2 linked regions of the Stegostoma tigrinum genome follow. The protein of the gene in region 1 binds, or shares a complex with, the protein of each later gene. Links are inferred from orthologs where the notes say so. Each region holds a gene or a part of one and is shown on either strand. Other genes may lie near its edges.

Region 1 (15,455 bases):
CTCTGCCTGGACCTGCCCCACTGAACTCATCTCCAATTATCCTGACTTTGTTTTTACTTCCCACGGCCAGAAGCTCCCCATCTAAGTCTGGGGCACCACCCACGCCCTCCACCTCCTTTAAGACTTCCAATTCCCTAGTCCCCCACACCTCATCTTCACTGTGGACATCCAATCCCTGTACTATAACCCATGCAGATGGCGCAAAAGTCCTTCTTCCTCTCTTGCAGGCCCAACCAGTCCCCCTCCACTGACACCCTCATCCACTTAACAGAACTCTTCCTTACCCTGAACAACTTCTCCTTTAACTCCTCCCACTTCCTAAAGGCTCAGCGGGTGGCCACGGGAACACACATGGGCCCAAGCTATGACTGCCTCTTTGTAGAACACATGGAACAGTCCCTTTTTCGCTGTTACACTGGCACTATCCCCCACCTCTTCCTCGGCTACATCGTTGACTGTATTGACACTGCCTCATGCTCCCACGAGGAGTTTGAACAATTCATCAACTTTACTAGCACCTTTCACCCCAACCTCAAGTTCACCTGGACCATCTCCAGTATCTCTCTCCTTCCTGGACTTCTCTGTATCCATCTTTGGTGACCGCCTCAAAACTGAAATCTATTTCAAGCCCACCAACTCCCATAGCTACCTGGATGACATCGCCTCTCATCCACCTTTCTACAAGAATGCGTTCACCCACTCCCAATTCTTCCCCCTCCACTGCATATGCTCCTAAGATGGGGCATTCCACTCCTGCACATGCCAGATGTCCTCTTATTTCAAGGGTTGTAACATCTCCTCTCCAATGATCAAAATTGCCTTCAACCACGTGTCTTGCATTTCCTGCACTTCTGCCCTCACATTCCCTCTCCTCAAGGCAGAACCCACCTTATCCTCACATATCACCCCACAAACCACCACATCCAACGTATCAGTCTCGCCATGTCCGCTACCTACAATCTGACCCCACAACCAAAGAGATATTTCCCTCCCCACCCATATCTACCCTTTGTAGGGACTGCTCTCTCCATGACTCCCTTGCCCAGTCCACACTTCCCACTTACCCCACCACAGCCTCAGCCCTGCAGCCACAGGAAGTGCTACACCTGACCCTACATTTCCCCCTTCACCTCCATTCAAGGCACAAAACAAACCTTCCACATTATACAGGGGTTCACCTGCACATTCATCAACTTGATCTACTGCAACTGTTGCTCTTAATGTGGCCTCCTCTACATCGGTGAGACCAAGCGTGGACTTGAAGACTGTTTTGTAGAGCATCTGCATCAGTGCTCTACAAATGACAACATCTTCTGGTCGCCAACCATTTTATCTAGCCTTCCGATTCCCTGGGAAACATGTCTATCCTGGGCCTCCTCCTGTGTCACAATGACACAATCTGCAAACTCAAGGAGCAACACCTCATCTTCCACCTTGGGACCCCACAGCCTGATGTCCTAGATGTGGAATTCGTCAGTTTTAAAATCTCCCCACCCCATGTCCAAGCCTCCCTCTCATCCCTGCCTCCTTGACCTGACACAACCTGTCCATCTTCTCTTCCAACTATCCTCCCCTCCCATCCCATTGACCAAATCCTACCACTCTCTACCTGCACTCACCTATCACTATCCTACCTACTTTCCCCAGCTCTACCCCTCCTCTCTCAGATATAATTTCTGAGCTCCCTCCCTGTTCCCCATTTCTGAAGAAGGGCTTCAACCCAAAATGTCAACTTTCCTGCTCCTTTGATGCTGCCTGGCTCTGTTCCTCCAGCTCTACATTGTGTTATCTCTGACTCCAGCATCTGCAGTTCTTGCTATCTCTGCTAGGACAGAAGGCTGAATTAGTGACCGGAAGCCGGTGTCCAGTGGTATACCGCAGTGATCTGTGTCGGGTCTCCTATTTTTAACTATGTGAGAGGTTGGAATAGTAAATTTGCAAATGACACAAAGATTGGTCAGATTGTTAATAGTAAGATTACGTGTCTTGGGCTCCAAGTAAGTACAAACAGGATTGTCAAATGGACAGATTAATGGCAGATGGAACTTAACCCTGAAAAGTGTGAGGTGATACAATTTGGAAGGAGTAATTTGACAAGGAAGTATTCATTGAATGGCATGACACTAGGAACTTCTATGAAACAAAAGGACCTTGAAGTGTTTGTCGACAGATTTCTGAAGGCAAAAGGCATGTTAATAGGGTAGTGTAAAAGGCACCAGGGACACTTATCTTAATCAGTGGAGGCATACATGATAAAAGCAGAAAAGTCATCTTGGAGTTTCATAGAATTTTCATGAGACTACTCTATAGTACTGTGTGCAGTTCTGCTTGCCATATTACAGGAAACATGATTGCACTGCAGGTGCTGCAGAGCAGATTCACCAGGGTACTGCCTAGAATGGAAAATTTAAGCTTTGAGGAAAGGTTGGACAGATTTCATGGAGCAAAGAAGAATGAGGCGTGGTCTGATTTAGGTGCAAGTGATATGAGAGACATGGACAGAATGGAGAAGGAGCAGCTGTCCCCCATAGTTGAAGGGTCAGTGGTGAGGGGACATAAGTTCAAGCTGAGAGGCAGGAGGTCTTGGGGGAATGTGAGAAAAAGCTTTTCTCCCGGGATGGTAATGATGATTTGGAATGCATTGGCTGGGTGTGTGGTAGGGGTGAATTGCCTCACATCCATGAAAAAGTACTTGGATGAGCACTTGGCATGTTATAACAGGCAATGCTATGGGCCAATTGCTGGGTAGACAGGATTAGATTGAAGGTCAGTTATTTCCTCACATGTTAGTGCAAACTCAATGGGCTGAAGGGTCTCTTCTTCAATGTATGAATCTATGCTTATCTAAAGTGGCATTCTGGGTGTACTAATGTAATTATTTGTACGGTACCAATAGAGTCTTGGGGGATATTCAGATTGAAGGAGAACTGCCAGTAGAAGGATGCCAAATCTGGACAATGTGGTTTGGATGTGTTTGGGCCGGCCATGATTGAATGGGAGATTTGATGGGCCAAATGTATCTTATGATCTTATGCCTCTATCCGCATACACGCAGGTAAACCCATGGTAACAGTAACTGATAGGTTTTATTGATGAACATTTTTTGAGGTTAACTTGTTGCTTAAAGCTACATTTTCATTTTTCTTTCTTTCACACCAACAACTGCCTTTGAAAGCAGGCAATTTCAGAGAGGGAATTGAGTCTTTTGTCACATCAACATTTGTATTGTTAAGGGCATAAAATGATTCAATAAACCTTTGTGATAGGCTTACACTACTAACTCACTTCTTATCATATTTTTCAATCACTTTCTTTCCAAAAATGTTTCTAATTGGCTTTTAAATGTAATGTAGCTGCCCATGTCAATGTCCTTTTCTAGTAATGTATTGCCCTTTCGATGTTTTCTTCTGTTATCACTGTTGTTTAGTATGGAAACACATTTCCTTGACTTTTTGATGACACCTGTGGTTTTATAATATTGTCACCTGCTATTGCGTGAAAAATTGCAAGAGTTGAAATATGTTGATCTACATGGTCCCAAATCCTAGCAATGGTCAGCAAAAGATGGTTAGCACTGTTACCTCACAGTGGCAGGGACCTGGGTTTGATTCCAGGCTTGGGCAACTGTCTTTGTGGAGTTTACACATCCTCCCCGTGTCTGTGTGGGATTCCCCTGGGTGCTCCGGTTTCCTCCCAAATTCCAAAGATGTGCAGGCTAGGTGCGTTAGTCATGGGAAACACAAGAAACAGCAGCGGGTCTGAGTGAGATGCTCTTTGGAAGGTTGGTGTTGACTCGATGAGCTGAATGGTCTGCTTTCACACTGTAGTGATTCTATGATTCTATGAAGGTGGGAGCTTTACTTATTTGCAGCTCAGCTGCTTCCTAAGGATACACTGTCTTTATCTTGGAAACATTGCAAATTGTGAGAAAGATCATAGAATTTCCAAGGAACACTGGCAAGTTGGTGGAGTAGGCTAATGGGTGGCAGATTAGATCCAATGTGAAGAAGTGTGAGGAGATACTTTTTTTGGTAGAAAGAACATAGGGAAACAATATGAAGTAAAAAGTACCACTTTAGCATAGAGACCAGGGTGTATATGTGCATGTTCTTAAAGGGGACAGAGGAGGTGGAATGTGATTAATAAATATCGCATTCTAGGCTTTACTAATAGGGTGATAAAATACAAGAATAGAGAAGTTATGCTGAATAAATATAAGTCAGTTAGTCATCACTTGGAGTATTTTGTACATGTCTGCACTTTAGAAGGATCTGAACATATTGGAAAGAGTGTAGAAGAAGCTAACTATAGTAGTTCGAGGGATAAGAAACTTCAGTTATGAAGATAGATTGGAGAAATCATGACTAGTTTGGAGTGGAAAAGACTGGGAGGATATTTGATTGAAGCTTTCAAAATCACAAGCCTGAACAAGGTAGACAGGGAGAATCTGTTCCTACCCAGATTTGCAAAGGAAGTAAGTGCTATTTGGGAAAAATCTTCTTCACACAGTGGATGGTTTGGGTCTGGACTGCATTTCTGGAATGTGTTGAAAACAGGTTTAATTGAGGCATTGGTTAAGGAGAAATAATGTGCAGGATTGTGAGGAAATGGTGCAAGAATGCCATTATGTCACGATGCTCATCAAATGGGCAAATGAACCCCCCCCCCCCCCCGCACTGTAAAAGTTCTGTGACTCTATGAAATGAACATGCTGGGAATTTCCTGAAAAACCACTATGTTGCTTTATCCGAGCTGTGAATATATTTCGTGACTGCACTCACCGGGTTTAGCCACCTATCAACAGTACAACCTGTTCTCAGTGAAAACCAAATTCAAGAGTGTCTTTGAGAGCAAAAAGAGTCTCCTTTCACTTCTTTGCTGCCTTTTGTTTTATTTGCTCCCTGTACCTCTATCCTCACCTCCAAAAGTGAGTGCAAAAGATTTTTGGACCTCTTAGTCACTAAGGTAGAAATCATCTGTTCGATTGTTTCCCCGTCTCAATGAACCCACTTCCATTCCTTTATCCTAAAGCAGCATTTCCTCCAATTCCCACATCCGTATCTCTTTTCCCCATTGCCAATTAGTAGCTGAACATCCAGCTTCCCTTGCTCGGCCGTCACGACTTGCTGATATTTTGTTCCACTCCACAAACTGCTGTTGATGCAAGAGTTAAGTTCTGCCTAATGTTACAAATACATTGAGGCTTGTGCGCACAGTCACGTAACATTCGAAAATGAGTCTTCTGCAAAGCCCCCTCAGACCTGCTATTGTCCAAAGCTGATCCAATCTGTGCTTTATGTTCCTCTTCTGCATACCTACCCCTCCTGAAGACCCTGTCGCGCTTTGATATCTAACCCGATATTCAGTCGTAAACTGGTCCACTGGACGCAGGACGACAGCGCGTACGTTAGCCAAGTTCTAGTCTATCCCCTAGGTCACTTTCTGTGACGAGACATGCCTTTTTTCCCCTTAAGCTGACCTCAATCTCAAGCATTAGTTCAATTGCTCCCACCGCCGACCCAGGTGAACGATCTCATAGGTCCTTTCACGTTCTGTGTATTAATCCACGCAGCGCTTTACCGATGCAACTATTTAAGTGGTTTCCAATAATCGATGTTTCTTTTCATCGTAACAATTCTAAAGCAAAGCATTGCTGAAAAGGGGCAACATTAAATTGTGGATATAAATCTCTTTCAGGTGTTCCATATTAAAAAAAATCTACAAGGAACGAAGCCCAAACTGCAACGTAGAACAACTCAACAAAGTGAAATTGAAGGTAGTTGAAGCAATATTTAACTTGAGGTTAAAAGCGCGTGGACTATCAGAGCAAGGGGAAGACTGGAGGAATTAAGATGCAATGGAGAGCTAAAAGTGTCACAACGGTAAGGGTTCGCTTAAATACTCGATCTAATGGAGTAGCAAAACGCACGGAGGTGTATGGATGGAGGGGGTGAGGAGCATTAGATTTACGATCGTAAAATAGTGAAGCTGATTGAAAATCCCATTTCAGCGCATGTGGAAGAACAGCTACGCTGAGATTAACCGAAACGGGTGTACCTTCACATTGTAGGGCCTCGAAAACGCCGAGTCTCACATCAACAGGAGTCAGCCTTTGCCACCTGTCCCATTTGTCCAGACAGTCTGGGATTTTTTTTTATACATCTGGACGGGCAGTCGGTCAAATGCTAATAGGTGAAATGGAACTGAGGAATTTTATCATAGATTCTTCCCCGCCTCACAAGTGCTCGCCGCGTCTTGTGCTGCGAATGCTTCATGAATGAGTTTATTAACGGTCCGGGAGATTTCTTATTTCCTATGTCCCCCACCAACCACCCAAACCAAAACAAAAATCAAAACGATACTTGACATTACACTTAGAAAGACATCACACGTCCGTTGGGACCTCTTCTAAACTGATTAAAAATGAAATAACGGTGTTGTTGTCCGGTGCTTCCAGAGCCGGACTACAGAGTGTCTGACTCACTCAGGATGTGTCTATATATGTGTCTTTAGGGAGGCGCTGACGCTACAGCCGGAGTTAAAGAGGGGGGAGAAAGTCGTTTGGGGTGGATTTATTTATTTTTTGTGATCGTGCAGATGCAGCGTGTAGCCGAAGCGCAAGGCTGACACACACACACACAGACACACTGGTGATATATTTGCACACTCACGTATACACACACACACAGAGACACAGCAAGAGGAAGAGGACAGAAGCAGCGGACAGGCTCCGTCAGCGCTCACTCCATCCAGGCACACGCGCTGAAGAGGCGACGTACCACACAGCCCCTGAAACCCCCTTGAAACCGAAGAGAGCAAGAGCTACAGCGGAGAGATTTAATTCAACTTCCAACTCAGAGAGGGGAGGCGACAAACGGCAGGATTCTGGAGAAGATTTGTTTTTGGGAAGGGGACTGACTGGATCGGTTGAATGGAACATAAATGCATTTACAGTGGAAACAACTGACCAGGAATTGATAATAACAGCAGTTTGCTGGAGACGCGATCAGTGATGAAGAACGGTCGATAAGCAAGGCTTCGATATTTGCAGCAAGAAACATTTAGTTCAGATTTTATTTTCCCAATTTCCCTCCTCCTCTTGCACATACTGTTGACACAATTTATTTTCTCTCTGTCGCTTGTTGCTGATTTATATATATATATATAATATATATATATATATATATATATATATATTTCATTCTCTTCGCCTCCCCGGGTTCGTTTCTCATCTCTATCCCCGCCACATGGAAGAATGAAGAGTGGGGGGTCGGTCCTCTTCCTCCTGCTTCTCTTAGGCGCCTTGCCGCCCTCCTCGCCGGAGAGACAGCAGCAGCAGCGACGAGGAGGAACTGGAGGCAGCGGGAGAGTGGCCGAGAGTCGCCCGCAGAAGAAAGCGGCCAGAGCGGAGCAGACCTACACGTCTCGGCTCAAGCGGAAAGGGCTGGCCGTGGACTTCACCTTCTCGCCGCTGTTTCGAAACTACCTGTTAGAATTCTTCGGGCGGGCGGCGGACGCCGACTGCCGCCTGCTGCTGGACTGCGAGGCTCTAGCGTCCGCCCTGGAAGGTACCGCCGCACACCGGGACGGCATCGGCATCAGCGCCCGGAGCGGCTTCGAGGAGACCGGCTCCAGCGCAGCAGCGTCCCCTCAGCCCGCCAAGCGGAGACTGAAGAAACAGCATCAGCCTAACCAGGTGGTCCTGGAGGTGGGCGCATCCGGAGATACCGCCCGCTGCCGGCCGCAAACCCCCCAGCGGCAGCCAGCCGCCCCCCTCCTCTACAACTTGACCCGAGTCTTCCTGGCGTGGAGCAGCTCCTCCGAGGGACGCCTGAGGATCCGCCTGATACCCGAGAGGAGAGCCCGTGAGTCCTACCCACAGCGGGAGGAGATCATCTCCGCCGCGATCAGAACCTCCGAGCCCAGGGTTCGGCTCCACGTCTCCTTCGCAGGTCAGCTCGAACTTAACTTCCGTTTTTGGAGAAACTGGCGTTTGTGCCTTAATCTTGGGAGATGAGGGTGGGTGCTTACTTTTTGGGGAGCTGGGACTTCGTTTTTTGGGGAGGTAGGACTTGATTGAATTTTTGGGGAGATGGGTTTTTTTTGGAGGAACTAAGACTTGTGTTTAGTTTAGGGGAGCTGAGACTTGGGTTTAGTTTTGGGGAGCTGAGACTTGTGTTCAGTTTAGGGGAGCTGAGACTTGGGTTTAGTTTTGGGGAGCTGAGACTTGTGTTTAGTTTAGGGGAGCTGAGATTTGTGTTTAGATTTTGGAGTAGAGCTGAGACTTGTGTTTAGTTTAGGGGAGCTGAGATTTGTGTTTAGTTTTGGGGAGCTGAGACTTGTGTTTAGTTTTGGGGAGCTAAGATTTGTGTTTAGTTTTCGGAGTAGAGCTGAGACTTGTGTTTAGTTTTGGGGAGCTGAGACTTGTGTTTAGTTTTTGGAGTAGAGCTGAGACTTGTGTTTAGTTTTGGGGAGCTGAGACTTGTGTTTAGTTTTGAGGAGCTGAGATTTGTATTTAGTTTTAGGGAGCTGAGACTTGTGTTTAGTTTAGGGGAGCTGAGATTTGTGTTTAGTTTAGGGGAGCTGAGACTTGTGTTTAGTTTTGGGGAGCTGAGATTTGTGTTTAGTTTAGGGGAGCTGAGACTTGTGTTTAGTTTAGGGGAGCTGAGACTTGTGTTTAGTTTTTGGAGGAGAGTTGAGACTTTTTTGGGATCTGGGACTTGTGTTTATTTTTGGGAGATGGGACTTATTTGATTTTTTGGGGGAAGCAGGGATTTGAAGGTTTTTTGGGGAACTGGGACTTGATTGATTCTTTTGGGGAGGTGGGACTTATCTTTCTTTTTACGGTGAACTAAGGCTTGTGTTTAATTTTGGGGAGCTGAGATTTGTGTTTCGTTTTTGGAGGAAAGCTGGGACATGTGTTTATTTTTTGGAAGATGGGGCTTTTTTTGTTGGAGAGGAGGGCATCAGTGAGACAGAAAATGTTTTTCTTTTTAAAAAAAAGACAGAGAAAAGTGTGTGACAGAATCAGGAGTGGCAGATAAAGTTGGACAGGACGCCAAAGGATGGAAAAGTGCCAATGAATGAAACAAAATTAGGTGCGTATTGTGTGAGAGGAATCGAACAGACCTTAACTGTGTGAGCGACAAGTGGTTGCAAGGAGAGGCTATATGTTACACACAGAAATAGAAATTGCTGCAAAATCTCAGCAGGTCTGGTGGAATCTGTGTAGAGAAATCAGAGTTGACGGCTCGAGTCGAGTGACCAATCCTCAGAACTTTCTGTGCACAGATGCTGCCAGACCTGCTCAGCCTTTCCAGCAGTTCCTGTTTTTTTTTTCTGTTTCTGATTTATAGCATCCGCAGCTCTTTCGTTTTTTTATTTACAGACCATATAAAGAAGTGTAGAGACGAGAGTTGCACAGAAATACATGAATCACAGTGTGATGCAGAATGTACAGGGGATGAAAGAAGGTGATAGAAAGTGCAGACAGCAAGTTAGACACGCGAGCACCTTTAAAGGATTTCCAGCTGTTGACCAACCGCATCAAGAAAGAGGACAATATAAAGTCGAATGCACCGATTTACCAGCCTGAATCAAATTTTAGTTAAGACAGTGCACCTACTTGTTTTTAGGGCTCTTGTGCTGTCATGGTATTTCCTCGGGGCCAAGAGGCTCGGGTTCAAGTTCCACCGGCTGCAGAGTTGTGTGCTGACGCCTCTGTTATCATAAGACATCTCACAACAGGTTGATGTAGAAAATATCTCAGCTACCTTTTGGATCACATTGCGGTGCTCAAGGGAAACTGGGCACACCTTGGCCAGTGCTTACCTGTTCCATTTCTTAGGTGCTGAGATGTCTCGTCAGCAGCACTTGGAGGTCCTGTAGGAAGCCTCTCCAGTGAAGGAGTGACGGTGAAGAACGCTCTTTTTTTCAGGGTATCATGTGGAAGATGAACGCGGAAGCAAGTTCCTGCAAGCGTCTGTTTTAACAGCTGCAGCTCTTTCAGAAACAAGAAAGGGATAGGTTTTAATTCAGTTCACCCACTGGGAAGCTGATGGGATCATTTGGAACACTGGTTTTACAAAATATTCTTCTCCACCAACTTGAGTAGGAATTTAAAATTGTGCAACTTTTCAAACCACCTTGCACCCAAGATTGTCTATTTCCTCGCTCATTGATGGGTTAAAACTGGCCACAATTATAAAGTTTAGTTGAACCTGAAGAAGAATTTTTTTTTTTCGCAGCGCGATGGCTCAGCGGCCTCACAGTGAAAAGGACCTAGGTTCGATCCCAGCAAAGGGTGATTTGTCTGTATGGAGTTTGCACATTATCCCTGTGTCTGTGTGGGTTCCATCCGGATGCTCCGGTTTCCTCCTACTGTCCAAAGATGTGCCGGCTAGGTGGATTGGCCATGCTAAATTGCCCCATTGTGTCCAAAGATTTGTAGACTAGGTGGGTTAACTACGGAGAAACGCAGGGTTACGGGGAATAAGGTGGGAATATGTCTGGTTGGAATGCCCTTTGCAGGTTAGGAGCGGTCGAATAGTCCGTTTCCACACTTCAGGGTTTCTATGAATTCGGTGTCTCAACTGACTTCAGCGTTGAGTTAAGACGGCGTGAAGCAGGATGAACACAGCAAACCAAGCAGCATCAGACCAGGAGAGTTGACGTTTCGGTCGAGACCCTTCTTCTTCCCCTGATTCTGCTTGGCCTGCTGCGTTCATCCAGCTTCACACTGTGTTATCTCAAATTTTCAGCGTCGGCAGCTCCTACTATCTCCGACTTTAGCATTGGTTGGGTTTTGGAGAATCAGAGTCCAACCTGAAAGTTTCCTTCATAGATTTGAAAGGAGAATAAGCAGCAAATGTTTCAGAAAGTTGAAGGGAACAATGACGGGAGGGGAAGAAATTTGCAGACTAAGAATTCCTTCCGAAGACTCCTGGCGTGTTTTCGATATTTCAAGCTGAAGTGTGACGTTTGCATTCAATTTTCAGTTCATTCACATTGCTTTGGGAATGGATTTGGATGGGCTGTAAAAGAGCAGAGAGGTGGTGGGAGTGCCGCATTTAGTGAAATTTTGAAGTGCTATAGAAAATTAAACAGACTGCCAAATTCTGAAAGCCTTGGAAAGCCTCGAAATGTGATTCAGCAAATGAGCAGCTGAAAGAATGAAGGGGACCTTGGTGAAAAGAAAAACAAACCTGAGGTTCAGGCATAAATCCAGGTCAAGGAATAGAGCAGTTCTCCACCTGATCCTTTGCTTTATCGCCGCTTTAGTGAAGTTGGCGCTGTATGTGTTGGCTGCTTTCGATTCAGTAACTCCATTATTCCCCACAATAGGGTAGCATCATAAAAGGACTGCAAGGACATAGAGCCAAGATTCAGGCTACAGTTGACGACTGTTGTCATAGAATATGCTAGCCTTATACAGCACAGTAGCTGGAAGTATCATCGCAAAGGATGATGTGGCTGTGCATCTGTATCATCTGAAGCCAGTTCGGAACAAGCCATTTACAAATGGATATTACAGAAGCTGCAGTAAAGGTTAGTAACATTTTGCCAGACTGAGTCAGTTAGTCTTCATTATCCACTGAGTACCTTAGCATGTCTTCTTTCATGCATGATATCGTGCGTTTGCTTCTGAGCAAATTTCCGATATAACTTTTTGTGGATTTGTATGTACTTTATTGTGCCATTGGGTCTGTTGGTCCATTTTCCTTCAGGCTGAGAAGTCTTTGCTTACGTTAATTGCATATTAAATTGAGGTATGTTCACTTGTATCGACAATGATCACCCTCGAGTGAAGACAAAGCATGCATGGGGTAGCATGAGCAATGTGACTTTTGTTAGTAGTTTGTCTTCTTCTTCGAGACATATTAGTTATAGCTACATTGGGCTGTTCATAATAATGGTTGAAAGTGTGTTATTTCAGCAATTGATACAAGTTCATGAGTACCCAAGTGCCAACAAAAGGAAGCAAATAAAGAATTTAGTCAAATCATAAATGAAACATAAAGGATTGAATTAATTTACTTGAGCTATTTAAATTAACTATTAGTAGAGCAAATTTCCTTATTATGCTTGATGTCATTTCAAGTGAGTAACTTTTGAAGTTGATACACTATATATCTAAAAGAATGGCAATGGACTTATCACTAAAATCCAATGTCTGCTCATTTGAGGTGTGCTCTTGAATCATCACTAGTCCCACTGCTGTAAGCTACACCACACAGCAAACTGGACAAAGTTGTCCAGAAGCAATTTTACCTTAGATTAGGGGATGGCTAGCAGGGGAACTTCTAGTGCAAAAAGAAGCAATACAGAGTAGATGTGAGGGAGGCATTCATGAGAAGGGTGAAGGGGAAATATGGTGATCAAGATGAGGGAGAGGGACACTAATATTGAAAGAAAATGCAGGAAATTTACAGTAATGTAGCAAGAGCCATGAGAGAACTGCTAGATTGAAAAAGAGACAGAAAGGAGATGGATTACAATGAGTGAAAATGAAAATGAGGAAAGTACTAAACCAAATAAATATAAGCAAAATGCAAGAAAGGGATTAAAGGATTGCTCAAAAATGTGATATAGAGCAAGTGGTTCCAAATGAATGACTGCAAAACAGATGAAAAATATTGCAGATAAAAGGAAGCAACAAGACACAAAATAGTGAGAGTTAAAGAATTTTCTGAAGAGTTCTTTTGCAAACAAAAAAATTGGTGTTTGAAATTCAAGTGGATATTGATATGTGAAAATGTTATTTAGTTGTTCATTGGATCATAAAATGAAAGAGGGATTGAAAGGCAAGTGTTGTGGAAAATCTGAGAATGATGGAAATCTTATATAGTACTTCTCATGAAGTATTTTCCATTAAAATTTTGAGTAAAACAAATCAAACAGCATAAAATTCCAGTTACGTTGTGCCTGCAATGCAATATTTCTTGTAAGAAATGTTGCGTCTTGACTATATTGTGTCCAAGGTGTAAATCTGGAAATGATGTAGAATTTACAACTCATCATTTAAGAATTTTTGTTTCTGTATAGAGAAATGGCATTAGCCCCAATGCACCTTCCCATTGTGATGGATCAATAGCACCTGCCTGTCATTGGTGACTCCATTTGTGTTTCAATGTGTTTGTCTGGTAACCTATTTCACAATTTCATTACCACTTATGTGAAAAAAATCCTTCTGACTTCTTTTGTCACAGAAAACATTCTAATTTCTTTTTACTAGTGCTGTAAGCCTTTTGCTGGAGAGACCAATAATTTTAAAATAAATTTTGTCAATTTTTTGCATAGATTACATTAACATGATTTCTTAATTAGTGAATAGCAGTGTTGTTATGTAATTTTCTTCCCCTTCCTCTTGAATGGGACCAACTGGATAGCTCTTTCAAAGAGCTTGCATAGACATTATGAGCCAAATTATCACACTTTGCATTGTATAAGCTCCATGATTCTGTTAATTACGATCACTGAATTCCCCTACTCGCAACATCCTGAGGGTTATCATTAACCAGAAACTCAGCTGGACTCACCACTTAAGCATAATGGCTAAAAGAGCAGATCAGAGGCTAGGAATACAGCAGTGAGTAACATACCTCCTGACTCCCCAAAGAATGCCCACCATTTATAAGGCACGAGTCAGGAGTGTTATGCAATGCTCCCCACTTGCTTGGACGAGTGCAGCCCCAACAACACTCAAGAAGCTTGGCATCATCCAGGACAAAGCAGCCTGATTAATTGGCACTGTATCCATTAGCATCTGCTCCCTCCACCACTGATGTTCAGTAGCAGCAGTGTGTACTATCTACAAGATTCATTGCAGAAATTCACCAAAGATCCTTAGACAGCAGCATCCAAACCCTTGACCATTTCCATTTAGAAAGACAAGGGCAGTAGATATTTGAGAATATTGCCACTTTGAAGTTCCCCTCCAAGCCACTCACCATCCTGACTTAGAAATATATTGCCATTCCTTTACTGTCGCTGGGTCAAAATCCTCAAATTCCCTCCCTAAATGACACTGTAAGTCAACTCACAGCAGAGGGATAGCAGTGGTTCAAGAATGCAACTCACCACCACCTTCTCAAGGGCTATTGGGGACAGGCAACAAATGCTGGCCAGCCAGCGATGCCCACATTCACAAATGAATAAAGAAAGTTAATGTTTACTCAAGAACACATTAAAGGTACAGTGTAAGTTCTTTTCATGAGGAGCGATTTCATGTTTCGTATTAGGAAGCTACCTAAAAGAGGCTGATGTACATTAAATAGAATCAATTACCACAACTGCAAATGATGTAATCTGGTGCTAATATACATTATGTAAATTGGGTAGATTTTTGTTTTAAAATGATGCAACACGTATGTAGTCTGTGGAAACTGTCCAAATTATCAGCAGAGGTAAATTAAGCTTTATTTGAATGCAAACCTGATTCCATTCCAAGGATTAAAAGTGAACTGTGCACTTGTTTAAAAGCACTGCTTTCAATTATTTTAACTGCAGATCAGTTGCATTCTATCCCATCTTGTCTGATCAATAAACAATATTCATTGCTACTTCTCCATACAGTCATTTTGTGTTCAGCGCTTTGCTGTAGTTTGGGAAAAATATAATGCAGGAAATCACAAAGAAATTCCAAAAATAGTGGGACTGCACTGTAGCTGAAAAAGTATTTCAGCTCTGCAAGCAGTATTGTGCTTGAAGTGACCTACCTTTTAGATGATGTGACCTGCTGCGCTTTCTAGAATTTTTAATCACATAGACAAATTTGTGTTTTGCTGCTGTGCTGTACAACTTACATAGAGCACTTAATCACAAAGATGTCTGTGACATAACTCCACAGAGGCTAGTATGCCATCTCTATGTCACCCTTTGTGCAAAGTACTTGACACTGGTTCAGCATCCTCAGAGCCAGCTTTCAGAATGAACAGAACCTCTGACACTGTTTAAGTATGTCAGCCAGGGGCTCCCTGATTGGACCCAGTTAACAGCCCCAATCAGGGAACTCATATTCTATGGGCCCACCTGGCTGCTCTCATCACAATCACTACATTCCTCCCTCCCTAAGTATGGGGATGTAGGCCTGCTGTTTTTCTTGTAGCCTCTCCAGGGACGTTTTTGCACCTAGTCTGGTTCATCTGACTCAGCCTCAGATATGGGTGATGTGTATCAGACTGTAACCTTCCTGTCGTGCCTGAAGTGTCTCGGGGAAGAAATTCATCTTTTTCAGGTAAAGGCTTTAAGGCTACGACATTCGCTGTGTCCATCTCACACTTGTGAGGTTTCTTCGGCACTAGATGGAGGGGTGAACCCACAGCTTCTGACAACCTTTCTGGCTATTCTGATGGGCCAGGTATGTTTTGCTCCTGACCCGTTTGTGAGTTTGCAGGTTTAATGTGGTCTATGTGCTTGTTCAGGACTGCCTCACCTGCCTGAACTTTGTACATCAC
Region 2 (16,010 bases), on another chromosome or scaffold:
AGAAGTGGTAAAGTTAACATAGAGCATTATTGAATATTTGGTGAGGAATTAGACCCCCCAATTTCAATCTCCATCAAGGGATATCAGACAGAGAATCCCGGCCTGACACAGTGGTGTACTAGCATGCGCTACTATGGAAGCAATATCACTTTTAGTGTAAATACTTTGTATGAATTAAGATTGTGAAAATCTTGGAATCAATAAAGCTACAACTGTTAAATACTGAATATTGTAGTACTACTTAGCCTGCTCCTAATGCACTGACACAATGCAGTTAACTTAATTGTGACCAGAAATGAGTTTAACATTAATTATAAATATTAGGGACTCTGAGGTTCAAAGACACTCTTCAGGCATTACACTTTTTGCAGTTCAGCTTGAAAGAAACCAAACATTCTGGGTGGGTTTGCAACTGAAAAATGAAATACCTGCCCTTTTGTCTCTCTGCATCTTGTACAACAACACCTACAACAATTTATATTTAATCAGCACATTTAAACTAACAAAATGTACCAAGGCATTTCACAGGAATAATACAAAACAAAAGATGGTGCTGAGCCAGTGAAGGAGATGTGCATAATCGCTCTGTCCAAAGGGAGGCCCTTAGCTCACTGTCTTCTCTGTTTTATCCAGAGCTGTTTATTGGTAGTTTTTGTTTCAGTGCTGGTCTGCCTTTGCTTTCTAACATGGAAGATGTAGTGATTGTAATGAATTTAACCAGGTGGGCCACATAGAGTATGAGTTTCCTGATTGGGGCTGTTAATCTGATCCAACCAGGGAGCCCTGGCTGACAGATATAAACAGGAGTGTCAGCTATCCTGCTCACTCTGAGAGCTGGCTCTGAGGGAGGTAGATCAGTGATAAGCGCTCCCTACATGTGGGAAAAAAGCTGACTTGGTGACGGTATACTGACCTCTGAGGAGTTATTTCAGAAGGAAGTTTTAAGTCTACTTTAGCTGAAGCACAAGTCAAACCCATAGTTAGTGTTATTCAGAATCACAGGTTAGCCATTTAGCCTTCTAATCTATCTTTAAAAGTAGAAACTAGGTCACCTATCCCCTCCTCCCACCTCACTGACCAATCCCCACAACTGCCTACCTGCACTCACCTATCACCATCCCACCTACCTTCCCCAGCCCCACCCCTCCTCTCTCTCTTTATTTCGGAGCTCCCTTTCCCCATCCTCCATTTCTGAAGAAGGGTCCTGATCCGAAACATCAGCTTTCCTCTGATGCTGCCTGCTCTGTTGTGTTCCTCCAGCTCCACACTGTGTTATCTCTAAAAACTAAAAGTTTAATAAAGGAGACAAGCATCTTAAAGAAGGCAAAGGAGGCAGAAAGAAAGACTGAGCTATAACAAATGTGTGGCAGAATTCATGGTTAAGTCAACTGAAGGCAAGGCTACTGTTGATGGAGTGATTAAAATCAGGGATACTCCACAGGGCAGAATTGGAGGAATGCAGTTGGAGGAAGCACTCGGTGGAATTGCAGAGACATGGAGAAGTGTGACGCATAAGGTGACTGTCTCTCAACATTGCTTATTTTAATTTACTCAGTTTTGCAATTAAATGGCAACCCTGCCTAAGGAAGGACCACAAGCATTTAAGAAATTCAGGGTCATGTTTTCTTTCATATATTGACTGTTATTGCCAAACTGAACCAAGTCTACTGACAGCAGGGATCCATGGTTAGTGGAAAAAAATCCATCGTGTGGAATCAGGATGAGTACGAATTGAAGTTCAGGTGAGAAAGGAAAGTTGCATCCATCTCTATCCTAGATCTCCCTTTCCACAAGACTTCACTAATATATTCAACTTATCAATGAATTTTAATTATATTTGCTTTCATTTTTAACTTCTTTATGCACCTGAGGTATCATAACCTACAGGTTTAGTGACCAAGAGTTGAATGGTGAAATTAGACTGAATGCTATTTTTTTTCAGCTGGCATGAATACAATTGGCTAAGTGGTTGCCTTATGTGTCATAAATTCTAAAACTGTATACTTCTTATCTGAAACTTAATTTGCAATGATGACCCTTCTTTTGCTGTTAGCTGATGGAGTGCCAAAGAACCCAGATTTACTCTCTCACCCACTGGCATGATTTCATTGGGCAGCTAACAATGACCTGTAGATGAAGCCACATTTAAAAATACCTCATGCCTCAAAGTTTAGGACCATCAAACCCTATTCAAACCTGTTTATCCCTGTCCAGTTGGAAACATTCTAGGCTTTAAACATACATCACTGCGTCTCTCAGGTCAAATAATATGAATAATTTCTGAGTGAAGCATTTTACACATGTCATTTGATGTGTCAAATGAGTTTGAACAACAGCCAAGGAGAATATTTTGGAAACTAAAGCAAGTTACTTTGTAGCTCAGCCGGCTAAATAGTACTGATGCACTGTCAAAGGCAAAGATATAATGTTCACTTTTAAGCTTTTGGAAGGGAGTTAAAGCAGCTAAGTTAAAATAAAACTTTACTACAGAAAATATGAAGAACATGAATAATGAAATAGAAGTATAATCAAAAAATTCCCAACGGAAAGAAAAAGTTAGAAGAAGTAAATGAAAGTTTGGATGAAGAGGTGATTTTTAATCAGGGTAATAAGGAAATAGAATCAATAGAGTTGCCAACTGTGGGCTCAAATTGCAAAGATTACACACCAGTTAACAGAATCATGATGTCAGGCCCATTTGGGAAGTCCACTAATGCTTATGGCTCACTACTCTTGGGGTCATCACAAAAGTTAAACATTTAACCAACTTACCCAAAATCCACCAGTATTTATCAATATGATGGGCTCAGGTTAACAGAAAACTTGATGAGGTTTAGCACTTAATAAGAAACTATTATTTATCATAAATGAGAGAAACATCATATTAAATATTAACTTATGACCGCCAGCTTAAGCTGTATTGCTTTCCCCAAGCTCACATGCAGAAAGGCGCAGGCAAACAAACACATTGCTGTCATTGGTTGAGGGAAAATATCTGTGGTAACAGTTCAATCACACTAATCCACAGGATTTGTGTCCTTTTGCTTCTTCTAATCTACTGAGTTCTGATCTTATTTCCACACCCTTTCAGTTCATTGCTGAAGACACAGCGCAGTTGACACATTAACTGTTCAGTCTTTCAGTCACCTGCTGAAGGCAATAATTTGAGCTGAAGGTGGGAGAGAATAGTTAACTATCAGTTCGAGATTACTTCAAAGTGGAGTGAAAGAAATAAAACGCTGTCTCTTGCAAACTGGAAACCTTCTGCCTCTGTACTGGTCACCCACAAATTGTCCATGTTTCCCATGGCCAATCAGTGGATTGTTATCATGCTGACAGCTTTTGGCTCCTACATTCGGCCTTTATTAAAACTCTAAATCAATAGCCTGTCTCAGGGTGAAGCTTGCTCTGCATACAGACCCATTGTGCCACAGGTTCTTCAACAACTGCTCGGCAAAGCAGTGGTGTAAACAAAATTCAAAATGAATTCCAGTGCCTCCCACTGTCCTTGGTTTAAAGTAGTTTTGTTTCACATTTTGGTCCACATTCCACAGTAAGGGGAGAAATGGGTCTTATGGATGCTTGCAATAACCTATTCAGTGATGCTTAGTTTGAGTTCTTCGAGAGCCACTCAGCTTACTATCTCATTATAACCTTCATTCAAAGATAAACGAAAGAGCTGAATTCCAGAGTTGATTGAGGGTAAAGTAACTGACCATTGCTTCATGGCTGCATTCAACTGAGTGTGGTGTCAAGGACCCCTAGCAAAACTGGAGTCAATGGGAATCAAAGGCAAAACTCTCCTCTGGTTGTAATCATATTTGGCACAAAAGAAGATGTTAGTGTCTGTCAGAGGTCAATCCTCTCACTCCCAGGACATCCTCAGAGTAGTGTCCAAGGCCCAAACATCTTCAGTAGCTGCATCATTGACCTTCGCTCCATCGTAAGGTCAAAAGTGGAGATGTTTGCTGATGATTGCACAATGCTCAGTACCATTTGTGACTCCTCAGATACTGAAGCAGTCCATGTTGATAGGCTGCAAAACCTGGACAATATCCAGGCTTAGCTGAAAAGTAGCAAATAACAACAGTGCCACACAAATGCCAAGCAATGACCATTTCCAGCAAGAGACAATCAAATTAAATTCAATAGCTTTGCCATCAATGAATCTCTCATTATCAACAGCATGGGGTTTATTATTTACCAGAAACGGGACTAGCCCATATAAAATTGAATGGCTACAAGCATAGGTCAGGGGTTAGAAATCTTGCAGCGAGTAACGCTTCTCCTGACTCCCTAAAGGCTGTGCACCTTCTACAAGGCATAAGTCAGGCTTGTGATAGAATACTTCTCTTGCTTGGATGAATGCTTCTCCAGAAACTTTCAATACCATTCAGGACAAAGCTGTCTGCTTGTTTGGCATCACAGCCATTTCCTCCACTACTGAACATCAATAGCAGCAGTGTACCATTTACAAAAATTGCAGAAATTCACTAAGGCTCCTGCTAAATGCACAACCACCATGAAGTAGGACAAGATCAGCAGATACACGAGAACCCCATCAGCTGCAGTTCCCCTCCAAGCCACTCACTATTGTGACTGAGAAATACATCATAGTTCATTCATGACTACTTGGTCAAACTCCTGGAATTCCTTCCCTAATAGCATTGAGAGTGTACAAACAGCACATGGACTGCAGCAGTTCAAGAAGACAGCTCATTACTGTCTTTTCAAGGGCAACTGAGGATGGGCAATAAATACTGACCCACATCCCAAGAATGAATTAAAACAAGGTAATCTTAGATAGGGGATTACAGGAGCAGGAGAGAAATTATTCAATGGATAAGTCAACTCATATGTTTAATTATACTTGAGAACACAATAAATAGGAACAGGAGTAAACCATACAGCTCTTCAAACCTACTCTGCCATTCAATATGATCTCGAAAGATCTTGGGCTTTATTTTCTTGTCTGCTCTCCACATCCTTTGCTCTCCTGAGAGACCAAAGGTTGATCTGTGTTAGCCTTAAATGCATTCACTGACCCACAGTCCTTCAGGGTATTCCAAAAATTCACAATCCTTTGAGTGAAATAATTTCTCCTTTTCATTTTATTTTTCAAAATAAGTATGACAGAATTAATTTCAGTTATTGAGAAAAATATACATTTGATTTTATGTTCAGAAAGCATTTTGAGTTTACCTTTACAACAAGCAATACAGCACGATGCTGCAGCATTACAGTGGGTCTTTATAGGTCAGTGATCAGATTGAGAAAGAAGATTCCTACAAAACATCACCTGCTGGACTCACAAGGTAGTGTAACAGGTAAATATGGTAATTTGTAAATTTGATTTCCTATAGACTATGTTTACATAGTAGTTTTCAATTGATTGTACGACTCACCTCAAAATCTCAAGGGATTATAAATTAAAACTAATCATGGTACTGAAGTAACTAACAGTGCTATAATTTCAGATTATCGCTCTTTGTGTCACTTTGCCATTTTCCATTATGACATTGTACTATGTTTTAGGACTATTTATATGCTAGTATTTCACTACTAAAGTTAATATTTTACAGCTAATACTGATTTAAACATTAATATTTACACTGTACAAGTGTCACAATACATCATGGAAATTTTATTGGAACATATGAAGTGAGTAGGCCATTCAGCCCCTCAAGCCTGTTCTGTCATTCAATGGAATCTGGCTGATCCAAGGCCTAATTCCATATATTCGCTTGGTGCGAATCCTTTAACGTCTTTGCTTAACAAAAATGTATCTATCTCAGACTTAAAATGAACAACCAATCTAGCATCAACTGTTATTTGTGGAAGAGAGTTCCAAGCTTCTATCACCCTTTGTGAGTGGAAATGCTTCTTACCAGTCTCACATCAAATGAGCTGGTAGAGGTGTTGCTTCTCTTCTGTAGTAATAACATCTCAAATTCAAATTATACAATGCCCATTGCAAAACCTAACAGATGCAAGACTTCCTAATAAAAGAGATCTTGCCTTCTGCACCCCTTTCAGATTCTGGCAAAGAGTGCCCACTCAAAACATTGACCTGCAAACCATCTGAGAATTGTGTTTCTTTTTTAAACCCCTTGTGCTTTTTACCCCCAAGACCTGCAAACCACCATTGGCAGTGGTGCTTCTGCCACCCATGTTCTACTTTCAAGAACATCTCTCCAAACTTCTCTCTGTTCCTTTAAGGCCTTGAATAAAACATATCTCTTTGGCCAAGTTCAAGGTCATCCTTTCTAATACCTGTTTCTTTAGCTCAGCATTCATATTTTTACCAGATTATGTTTCTGTGAAACATTTTGGGATGTTATTCTAAATTAAAGGTGTCATAAAATAAACATTGTTGTTATTCTTAGACAAAAGTTTTCTGACTTATAAGTATTGTGGATTTTCTGTATATTTCTAGAGTTTTGTTGTTCTATTCAAGATTATCAGTATTAGCAGTTTATTTTTCCATATTTATTAGGAACATATGTTCTCCAGACTAAACTTTGGACTAACTTTGTCAATATTTCTCCACAACTTATGAACGGATATGTTGACAATCATCTTAAATAAACATAAGTTGTTTAGTTTATCAATTACATTATTTAGGTTATCCCTTGATTACATGGGAAGGGGAGGGAAGATGTAACACCCATGAGACAATGGACCTACATAAAGAGTAGATAAATCATTCTCTGCTCAAATCAGTAGTCATTGCTTGAAATGTATTATTAAATCAAAAGTTTGAGTATTGGAAAACTGAAAATGCTGCATAAGCATAGGATTTTAGCCAGCTCGTACTTTCTGGATATAAAGAATGCACTTGTACAGGTTAAACGGTTACAACCCCAGCAGCTAATTGGAGAAAACACCAAAGTACACTTTAGTCATTAGTGTAAAAAAGCTTCTGACATTTTTGTCTTTGTTTCCACAATCACCATGCTTGGCCTATAATAAAGTGGTTAATTTTCAATTTGATGCTGAATTTCAGAGTTCCCACATTTTTAATTTATGAATTTTGCAAAGCCACAGCCCATAAAAAAAAATTGGCAATGTTTATAATCTTATTTTGAAGAATTGAAAACACTCAGATCAAAGATTCAACAAATCCTTTACTACATTCTCTTGACATTACATTCCTTTTATTCACTCAAAATTTTATATACCCTTGGTTAGTTTCCCACATTCTACACTTTATAAACGTGGTCGCCAAAATTCAGCTGCCACATTTCAGTTTGCAGCAACTCTCATTACCCTATCACTCTGTGACTTATACAGTCTCCCGGTTATCAACACGTTGACTTAAAAATTCTTATCTTGTTTTCACACCCCTCAATGATATCACCCTGTCTCTATCTCTGCAATCTCTGACAGTCCCGCAACCCTCTAAAATACTTACACTCCTCTCATGCTTTCCCTTTTTGCCCAATCCCAAGGGTTATTCCTAATTCCACCATCCATGGCCACGCCTTCACTTGCCCCGGCCCTAAACTCTCTCTCCATACTTCTCTACCAAGTGTTCCTCCTTTCAGGAAACGCATGACTGCTTTGATCAAGCTTTCATCTGACCTCATATAATGTTATGTGCCTTGGTGAAAGTATTATACAAATAAATGTTGCTGTTAAACTTTTGCACCAAAATTAATGAACAGGCTATGGAATCATATGATCTATTGAAGGGTTTGTCATACAAAACCAAATGGGGAAAAATGCTTTTTACTCATGGTGCATATCAAGCGAATGAGTGGCATCTAGTGGGAGGAGGTAGGCTAGTCACCACCATTTTCTTCCCTAACATAAGGCGAGTGATCCGTTTGAAGAACATTTTTCTTTAGTAATCCATGCATTTATGAAGGGTAACTTGGATGAATATTTGCACTGTTGTTCGGAGTCTGATTCCTTCAACACCAATATTCCCTCAAAGGGGATTTTCTACGGCAAGTGGTTATTCTATAGATTATGCAAGCGACATAATGAGATCAACTGTACATGGTCGAGTAGTATCGGCGGAAGTTTCTATGAATAAATTATATCTAACAGAAGCGCGCTGTGAACCCAGTCCCCCCATTTGTAGGACACGGTGGTCTGACTGACTCCGGCCAGTCGCCGCATGGCGCCGTTGTTAGTCTGCTCTTTGGTTTATGTGTCCTTACAAATGACAGTTTGTGTATTTTCTCCAAATTTCTACATTTGACGTGTCCACGTTCGCAGTGTTAAGCGGTGTAGGGGGCTTCATTATTAGGATACAATAAATAGGAAGTTAATTGAAATCATCAAAATCACCGTTTCGTATAGATTTGGACAAGTCTTGCTCTCACCAGGTCCGCACACACACTTTGGTGTTTGTTTGAACCTGAAGGGAGTAGTAAACAACATTCTGATTAAATAGGCACTGTTAAAGGTTTAATACCGGCACCGTTGCACCTTTGAATAGCTGCATCTAACTGCAGTGTTTCATGTGCAAGTACACACTTCTTGCTGACTTTAACATCCATATCACAGCGTTTCCAATAATATGTCACGTCGGAAATTAGACTTGAAGAAATAAACATGTTTATCAGAAATCATATCCTGAGGATCATCAAATAAACTGCAAGAGGCAGGAATATAATGGCAGTTACCGGTTCCCGGCTGAGGGAAGGGGATAGAAAAGAAGTTCCTGGTATCCACGCAGCGTTGTCAGTCAGTGACGGTCTCATCATCATCCGGGCTGACGAAAATAATGCAATTCAAGGAGTGCTTGATCGGGAAGGATGTATTTTCAAATCGCGTTAACACGTTTCCAATTAAAGACACGCCGGGGTAATCCGTTGGGACCGATTACGTCTGCGAATAGACAGTAAAAGGTTGGGAAAGATCTAACGAAAGTTACCGAACAAAGGTTGCCAAGTGGACTTTTATTGTTTGCCACCCACCTCAAGTCGATAATATCATATTGAACTACCACATGCATCGTATACTATATAAGGGCCTGTGCTGGGAGGTACTGCAGAAATGGTGTAGTTTAAGGAATAAAGTGCACACCGCGAGAAATTATTTATTCTGCGAGCAAGTTTCAGCAAAACAAAAACGACCCGACTTGCAAAGAGAGGGGGAAGGATATATTTTGAAGGTAAATGCATGATTTTTTTTAAAATTCGCGATTCAGGTCTAGATTATATAGATGCTACTTTGAGAATAAAAAGTCTTGCTCCAGTCAAGCCAGGTAGCACATGCCGGATGCTGTTTTCCTTCTGGACTAAATCGCCTTCCTTTGCAAAGTAGCAAAAACAGCAGAATTGTATGCACTTTTGCCACAATTATCAAATGTGGATTTTTTTAAAAGAAAGGAATTTAATGCTAAATTCAACGACTAACCATTCAGTGTGAATCTTAAAACACAGAAGAGTTTGAATTTTCAAGACCGTAAGAAGCAGTAAAGTGGTTAGTGCTGATGAGAGTGGTGTGCAGTTTATGAGTGGCTTGGTATATGCGTGCGGTTATTTCAACTGAGCTGCTAAAGATCACTATGCCGGTGTATTCTCTCTTCTAGAGCTACGGAGTCGCAGCTGGGAGGCTTTAATCTGATCTCAACATCAGAAATGAACAGTCTGAGGTCGCCGCTATTCTTTGGACTGGTACTGCTCATTAGCACAGCTGGATATTGCAAAGAGAGGACAGATGTCACGGAGTTACGGGAGAATAAAACCCTCTTTAATTTAATATTGGAAATCATTAATCAGTTACAAAAGCACCAGGAGGAGGAAACTAATGAAATCGACTACTTCCCGCAACCTGTCGATTATACGTTTGATTCCCGGGAATTTCCTGACAATGAAGTCTATCATAAGGAGGAAAGAGTTGGTAAGTGTGTTCGGGTCTATTGTTTCCACGGTAGTTATGAATCTACCCCTGGGGGATTTTCCGCCTCACTGAGTGAAGAGCCAGATATATTGGGTGATCACGCATTTCATTTCCTTTTACCAAATTGAAAGTAGGGGAGGACTGGGCTGTTTGAATCTGGGAGGGGGAAGGGGGGCGATAAAAGCGATGAATGACCGCTTGGGGCTGCGGAAGGTCTGCTCGCTCTCTGTAGCTGGTTTCTGGTACAGACGGGAAGAAAGGAAGGTGGAGTGGGGAGGCGGGGTGGTGTGGGGTTGGGAGTTGGGTTGGTGGAAACTGATGGCAAGGCGATGTTGGCTACTTTAAGGCAAGGAGCGACACTAAACCCAGCAGCTTGTATTCCCCCCACCCTCACCCATCCATATATGCTAAACGCAGTTAGACAGTTTGTGAATGGTCAGCAGCCAGGAAAGGGTGACTTGAGGACATTGTCCCGCTGCTCAAGAGATCCGCGGGAGAACGGGGACTGTCTGCTTGCTATCAATCTCTCCCAGGTGACGGGGGGGACGCTCCACATTCACGATCTATAGCCCTGATTAATTATTTTTTTGCAATATCTCACTATTTTGGGATATGTCGATCTGGTCAGGTATGGGAACAGGCAGGGCTAGGGTAGGAGTTACAAAAAGCGATCCTCCCTCCCCTGCCCAGCGTTCACGCAGCGTTGTCTCGAATTGTCTATTAACTCGGGGCTCCCCTCGACAATCCCTCAACATTGGGACAGTCGGGGGACGCTGTCTTTTCGCTTCTTCCTTGCTTGCGGATTCGCCTCGCTGCCACTCAGAACCAATCGTTCCTGAAGTTGCCCGTGACTCCAGCACACACCTCAAGGCGAGTCGAAACACCGTTAAAACGATCGAACTCCACGTTAGGAAAGGATTGGCCAAGGTTTAGCAACCCCATCAAGCTAACGTTATCTCAGCCCTGCCTTTAAACCCCTGTCTGATTTTCCAACAGAAATAGTGCCCAGAGATCTGAGGAAGATGAAAGACAAGTTCTTGAAACATTTAACAGGTAAACCACGGCTCATTCAGTGTGGCTGTGACTGCGTGTGTTTTTATGCCCAGTGCGGATCGGCCGGTTTTTAACAGTGATTGCCTTTCTCCCCAGGTCCACTTTACTTCAGCCCCAAGTGCAGCAAACACTTCCATCGGCTGTACCACAACACGAGGGACTGTACCATACCAGCATGTAAGTGCGAATCCGCCACTACTTTCCCCAGTCCCCTTCTGGGGAAAGCGATCGTTTTACGCATGAGTCTAAGAGGCTTTTTTTTTATTAAAGCAATTAGGAAAATAATGCAGTGCTGGATATCTGAAATTTGAAAGAGAAAACTAGTTGGCCCCACAGTAGGTCAGGCAGATTCTTCCGAACGAAGTGTAGTTACAGTCTGAAGGACTTTCCAAACTGTGGACTTCTTGGTCTCCCACTCTCATGCCAGGGTCACTCTCATTTGGCAGCTTTCATTAGAGCAGCACGGATGTGGCAGAGGAGGATGGTTTGCATTGGTTTCGGTAGAGATGTGACCATGCATGATGTTCAGAGCTAGTCCCAGCTAGCAGACTGACAGCAGGATCCTAAGATGCTGCTTGGCCTGCTGTGTTCATCCACCTCCACACTGTTGTCTAGGATCACAGTTCCCGCTGGAGAGGAGGGTGGGAGGGAGAGAGAGAGAGATGAGGGGTTTTTCTGTGGACATTTCCATTCTTACCTGAATGATCCTGAGCCGGGTGGTCAACACTCTGGTCTGAATGACTGAAACTTCAGCAGGCTGATGGTGGGAAAGGATAGACTCCATAAAGGCAAGTGACGGAGAGTCTGGCCTGCTCCACTATACTGGCGGACACCTGTTGCCAAAATCATTCCCAATGAGACTCATTCAGGTATATGCAAACCATATCCCCACTGTCTATCCAGAAGGGCAGCGGCGCGTTGGATTCTATCAGGGTGGGCCGAGATAAATGTCGGGAAATGTTAAGGGTTACGCTTGCAACCCAATGTGGCTTGTGTTGTATCACATCACACATCATTCTAAAACCCAGCATTACCGCTGCAATAATGATTGAAGTGTTTTTTTAAAAATGATTCTCATGGGAATGAAAATTATCGGACAATCGGGCTCGTTTGCGAAATTGCTTTTTGAACGCGAAATTCAAAGGCAGACACTTTACACAGCCCGTTTATAAAAATAGAATTGACCCATCTGTTTATTTACATCCTTCTGGCTTAAGTGGGAAGCTTCAGTAACTCCATATGGCAGGAATATGTCTTTAACAGACAAATGTCTCTGAGAATGAAAGAAAGCTGACGATTCGGCGACTTTATTATCTGTTTGTTTTCGAAAGAGAGACACAATCTCCTGCAAATAAATCTCCGTGAGTGCTTTTCTGTGCCGTGACAGCTTTCTCTTCTCGTAGATTACAAAAGATGTGCCAGACTTCTCACAAGATTGGCAGTCAGTCCGATGTGCGCTAAAGGCTAAAATTCGATTACTGGTAAGTGTTGCTCACGGACTGCCATCCTGTGATACTTGAGCTTGGCTGTTCTACATTCTGAAGTTTCGACTCTGACATTCTGGGGGTTGAGGCGGGGTTGTTTGCGTGGCAATTTGGAACGATCTATTCCGTTAGCAAATACATTTCAAAACCAATCGGCCCTTCCATGCAGACTATCCCTTTCAAGCGTGAGTTTGTCTTTCAGCCAAAATCGATCAGGGGCTAAATGCAGCATTTCTTCTTTACCTTCCTGATAGATATCACATCGGTACCAGTGAAACCCACCCAAGCTGCCATTTCGTTTGGGTAGCTCATCCTATTATTTGGCTATTCTAATGTACCTCAGAGCAATGTAGGCAGTTTGTAAAATTACGCTGCAAATATATGAAAGCTATTGCATAATCGGACGGTATGAGCAAAAGCTGTGTCTGGGCAAAAGCCTAGTTTCGTTCGCTTTCAACTCAACAGCTGAACCACAACCACATGAAACCAGACTCAAGATGTAATTCCTTTCAATATTAATGGCCTGTTAGTAATGTTCTGCCATCTTGATGCTTTACTGCACTATATAAGGCAGCACTAATTGCCATGGCTACGACATCATAAGAGATGGCAGCAATTGATATACACACCATTTTACAAAGCTTTCTAATCAATAGGTCGGCCCACGCATCGTGAAAGTAGAAAAGCCAGCCGGGCTAATTAATATGCAATCGAATGAATGCTGAACTTCCACGCCTCACACATCAGCGACACCCACAACGTCACTGATTGCACGAATGCCTCGGTTAGGAAAATAAGACATGTAAGATGTCTAAAGTACATATACCCTGGGAAGGAAAAGGCAGTAATCATCATTTACAACTGAACAAAAGGTATCAGGTGCATGTCTTACTTCATTCTGGCATCTGGGCTCCTGTACCTCAATGCAGATTGTCAGGACAAACTTGAGGCAGGATTGAGGAAAAGATAGAACTTCAGATGGTAACACTGCTCTAGGTAATGCACATTCAGTTAGACACCAACAAGTTCATTTCATTATTGATTAATCATTCTTTTCATTCACTCAGCTTTACATGAGAGTGGGGATATATTTTTTCAATTGCAGTGCAGAATTGAAATTCCAATTGTGATGATGCTTGGTGAATTCCACTTATTAATCATCACTGACACAAAAATAGTTCCAATACTGATTTTTAAAATATATTCTAATTTTTGTGACATTCTTTCCTTCATCAGTTTGGAGGAGCAGTACAACTGTAGCAAATAAGAAATTTTTTCATTAACTTGCCATGCCTCACTATCATGTCTGACTGATAAAATTGATGTGGTTTGCCTAGCTAGTTGAGAGGCCAGCAAATTAGGAACTCAAACTGATATCTTACCTTTAAATGTAGCATTTAACCAACTATTGTTATTAAATAGCTGCAACAAATGGACTGAAACATTATATCACAATTCTCATACAGAGCACTGAACAGGAGCTGCTAAGTTTATGACACCTGAACCAACTTTCAACCAGTCATGCACCATTGTGATGTAACCACACAGATGAACAATCTAAAGGTGCACTCTCTTCTATGGAAAGGATCCTGGCATAAAATGTTTATAAACAACAAAATAAATTACCCGTGGTAGATATACAATTTCTGAATAATTGTTAAAAGGGCCAAAATATGCCATCATTTTCAAAACCAAAATGGCATTTTGGAACAATTACAGTCATCAACTAACTTGTAAAATGCTCCTGAGATGCTGCTGGGCCTGCTGTGTTCATCCAGCCTCACATTTTATTATCTTAAAAATGAAACCATTGAGTTCCACGTATAAACGTGCAGCAGTTTTGAAGAACTTATAAAGCAAGCATTCCACTTTTTAAAACTAAAATCCATGAAAAATCCAGTGACTCAAGGGTTAGCTCTGCCTCTCAGTGCCAGGTACCCAGGTTCAATGCCAGCAGCCTTGGGTGACTTGTCTGTGTGGCGCTTACATGCTCTTCCCATGTCAGTGTTGGTTTCGCTGGGTGCTCTGGTTTCTTCTCACTGTCCAACGATATGCAGGCTAGGTGGATTGGCCGCAGTAAACGTGGGGTTACAGTGATAGATGGGGAGCTGCGTCTGGGTGGGATGCTTTTCAGAGGGTCAGTGCAGGACTCGATGGGCCAAAAGGCCTCTTTCTAAGCTGTAGGCACTCTGTGATTCTAAATTAAGTATACAAAATGCAATAATCTTATCTTACAGGTATCAACATAAAGATATCCCCAGAACCAAGAAAAGTGCCTTGGAAAACAACAGGGAAACACATTGATCTCAATACCTTTATAACATATTCCATTGTGAACAAAGATTTATTTTTGCAAACTGATGGATTACCTCCATGAACTCATTAATGTGCATTTTGTGTGTTGTCAACATTATTTCTGTAATTCTGTACATTAGTATAAATAACTGCCGATGTTACAAAGGCTGAACATTTAAGAAAATAACAACACTTCACTGTTTTCCTGTGTAATGCTGCCAAAAATTGCACAAATGCTTTCTTGTTCATGTTTGGAGTATTATTTTGTATTAAACATTGAGACACTCAGATACTGTTCAAGACAAGGCTAATGTATCCTGAATTTACTGTAGGATTTTTTTCATGCTTCAGAATGCTGGTTATCTTTACTTGTCATATGTAATGCTTATGCAGTTTAAAATCATTTGCTGTGTCATAACACAGCAAAATATTGATATAATGGAATGCTTGGGGTCACCCTCTACTCCAAGGGATAAGTTATGGTTTGCATGACATTTTTCTTGCCTTTGTCTTTACAAAGTATAATATTTTACAACTACACTGTTAGGTTAGTACTTTGTTGGTTATGGTTTACATTCTCTGAGCTGAAAAAAAGAATTTTGTGACCAATTATCTTTTCTCTAACACAGTGGAGTGTCATTTATACAGATCTATACAAGCTATTGTCATTAGTCACTGTACATTATGATTTATAAACATTCCAGCTAACATGTGCAATATGTATATATTGTAAAGACCTGAATATATATCAGTTATAAAATAAAGTGTTTGGTATTTGACAAAGACTAGACTGAGTGCTCTTTGTATACATTCCCAGGTTGTTACTACATAGTTTTAAACAACTTTTTCCAATCATTGATTCACTACAAAAAAATTCAGTTTTTCTGAACTCTAGACAGACCTCAGTTTGCTTAAATCAATGCATTTATCCTAAAGTAATTCAAATAAATAAAAGTATACAAGGTTCAATTAGAAGGCAATCTATAGGACATAGTCATATTAACCTGCACAAAATGTGGAATGCATTATTCTGAATACGTCTTCCAAAATCTACTTTAAACGGAGACAGATATAAACAGTTCCCCAAGGGAAAATGACACTTGGAGTCATATTTTGTGGTCTAATTTCATTACCAATAATTGATACATTTGTATTTGACAGTCATTTTCAAATCAACACTTCTGTCCAGTGCCACCTTTTAAACATATTTAGTCTTCTGCTTTTAGATTTTACCATGAGACAGCAAATTATCAGTTATTGCCAAAGACAACTGTATTAATTTTTTTAGTGAGATATTTAATGCATCATTGACAATAACTA

Evidence for each region.
Region 2: the proteins of ALK tyrosine kinase receptor-like (region 1) and alkal2b are in contact, whole or in part, in a cryo-EM structure (PDB 9G5I), measured with the Homo sapiens proteins. The link is inferred for Stegostoma tigrinum from reciprocal best matches to the Homo sapiens genes ALK and ALKAL2. Residues at the interface, in NP_004295.2 of Homo sapiens: Leu684, Tyr739, His755, Ser758, Leu760, Phe856, His857, Glu859, Leu965, Tyr966, Thr967, Pro968, Leu970, Lys971, Val972, Met973, Glu974, Glu978, Asn980, Val992, Glu994, Cys995, His996, Met997, Phe1007, Asp1009; in NP_001002919.2 of Homo sapiens: Ser112, Lys113, His114, His116, Arg117, Leu118, His120, Asn121, Thr122, Arg123, Asp124, Arg133, Arg136, Leu137, Arg140, Leu141.

Annotation. Positions count from the first base shown.
Region 1 is NC_081362.1:75,412,706-75,428,160, reverse strand, and holds the start of ALK tyrosine kinase receptor-like, read left to right. Parts: upstream 1-7,220; 5' UTR 7,221-7,255; coding exon 7,256-7,952; intron 7,953-11,449; exon of another isoform or gene 11,450-11,547; intron 11,548-15,455. UniProt on the Homo sapiens protein: Neuronal receptor tyrosine kinase that is essentially and transiently expressed in specific regions of the central and peripheral nervous systems and plays an important role in the genesis and differentiation of the nervous system.
Region 2 is NC_081357.1:108,096,989-108,112,998, reverse strand, and holds alkal2b (ALK and LTK ligand 2b), read left to right. Parts: upstream 1-8,533; 5' UTR 8,534-9,127; intron 9,128-9,547; 5' UTR 9,548-9,596; coding exon 9,597-9,858; intron 9,859-10,854; coding exon 10,855-10,911; intron 10,912-11,007; coding exon 11,008-11,088; intron 11,089-12,314; coding exon 12,315-12,379; 3' UTR 12,380-12,392; intron 12,393-13,861; exon of another isoform or gene 13,862-14,068; intron 14,069-14,632; 3' UTR 14,633-15,473; downstream 15,474-16,010. UniProt on the Homo sapiens protein: Cytokine that acts as a physiological ligand for receptor tyrosine kinases LTK and ALK, leading to their activation. Cytokine-binding is sufficient to activate LTK. In contrast, ALKAL2-driven activation of ALK is coupled with heparin-binding to ALK.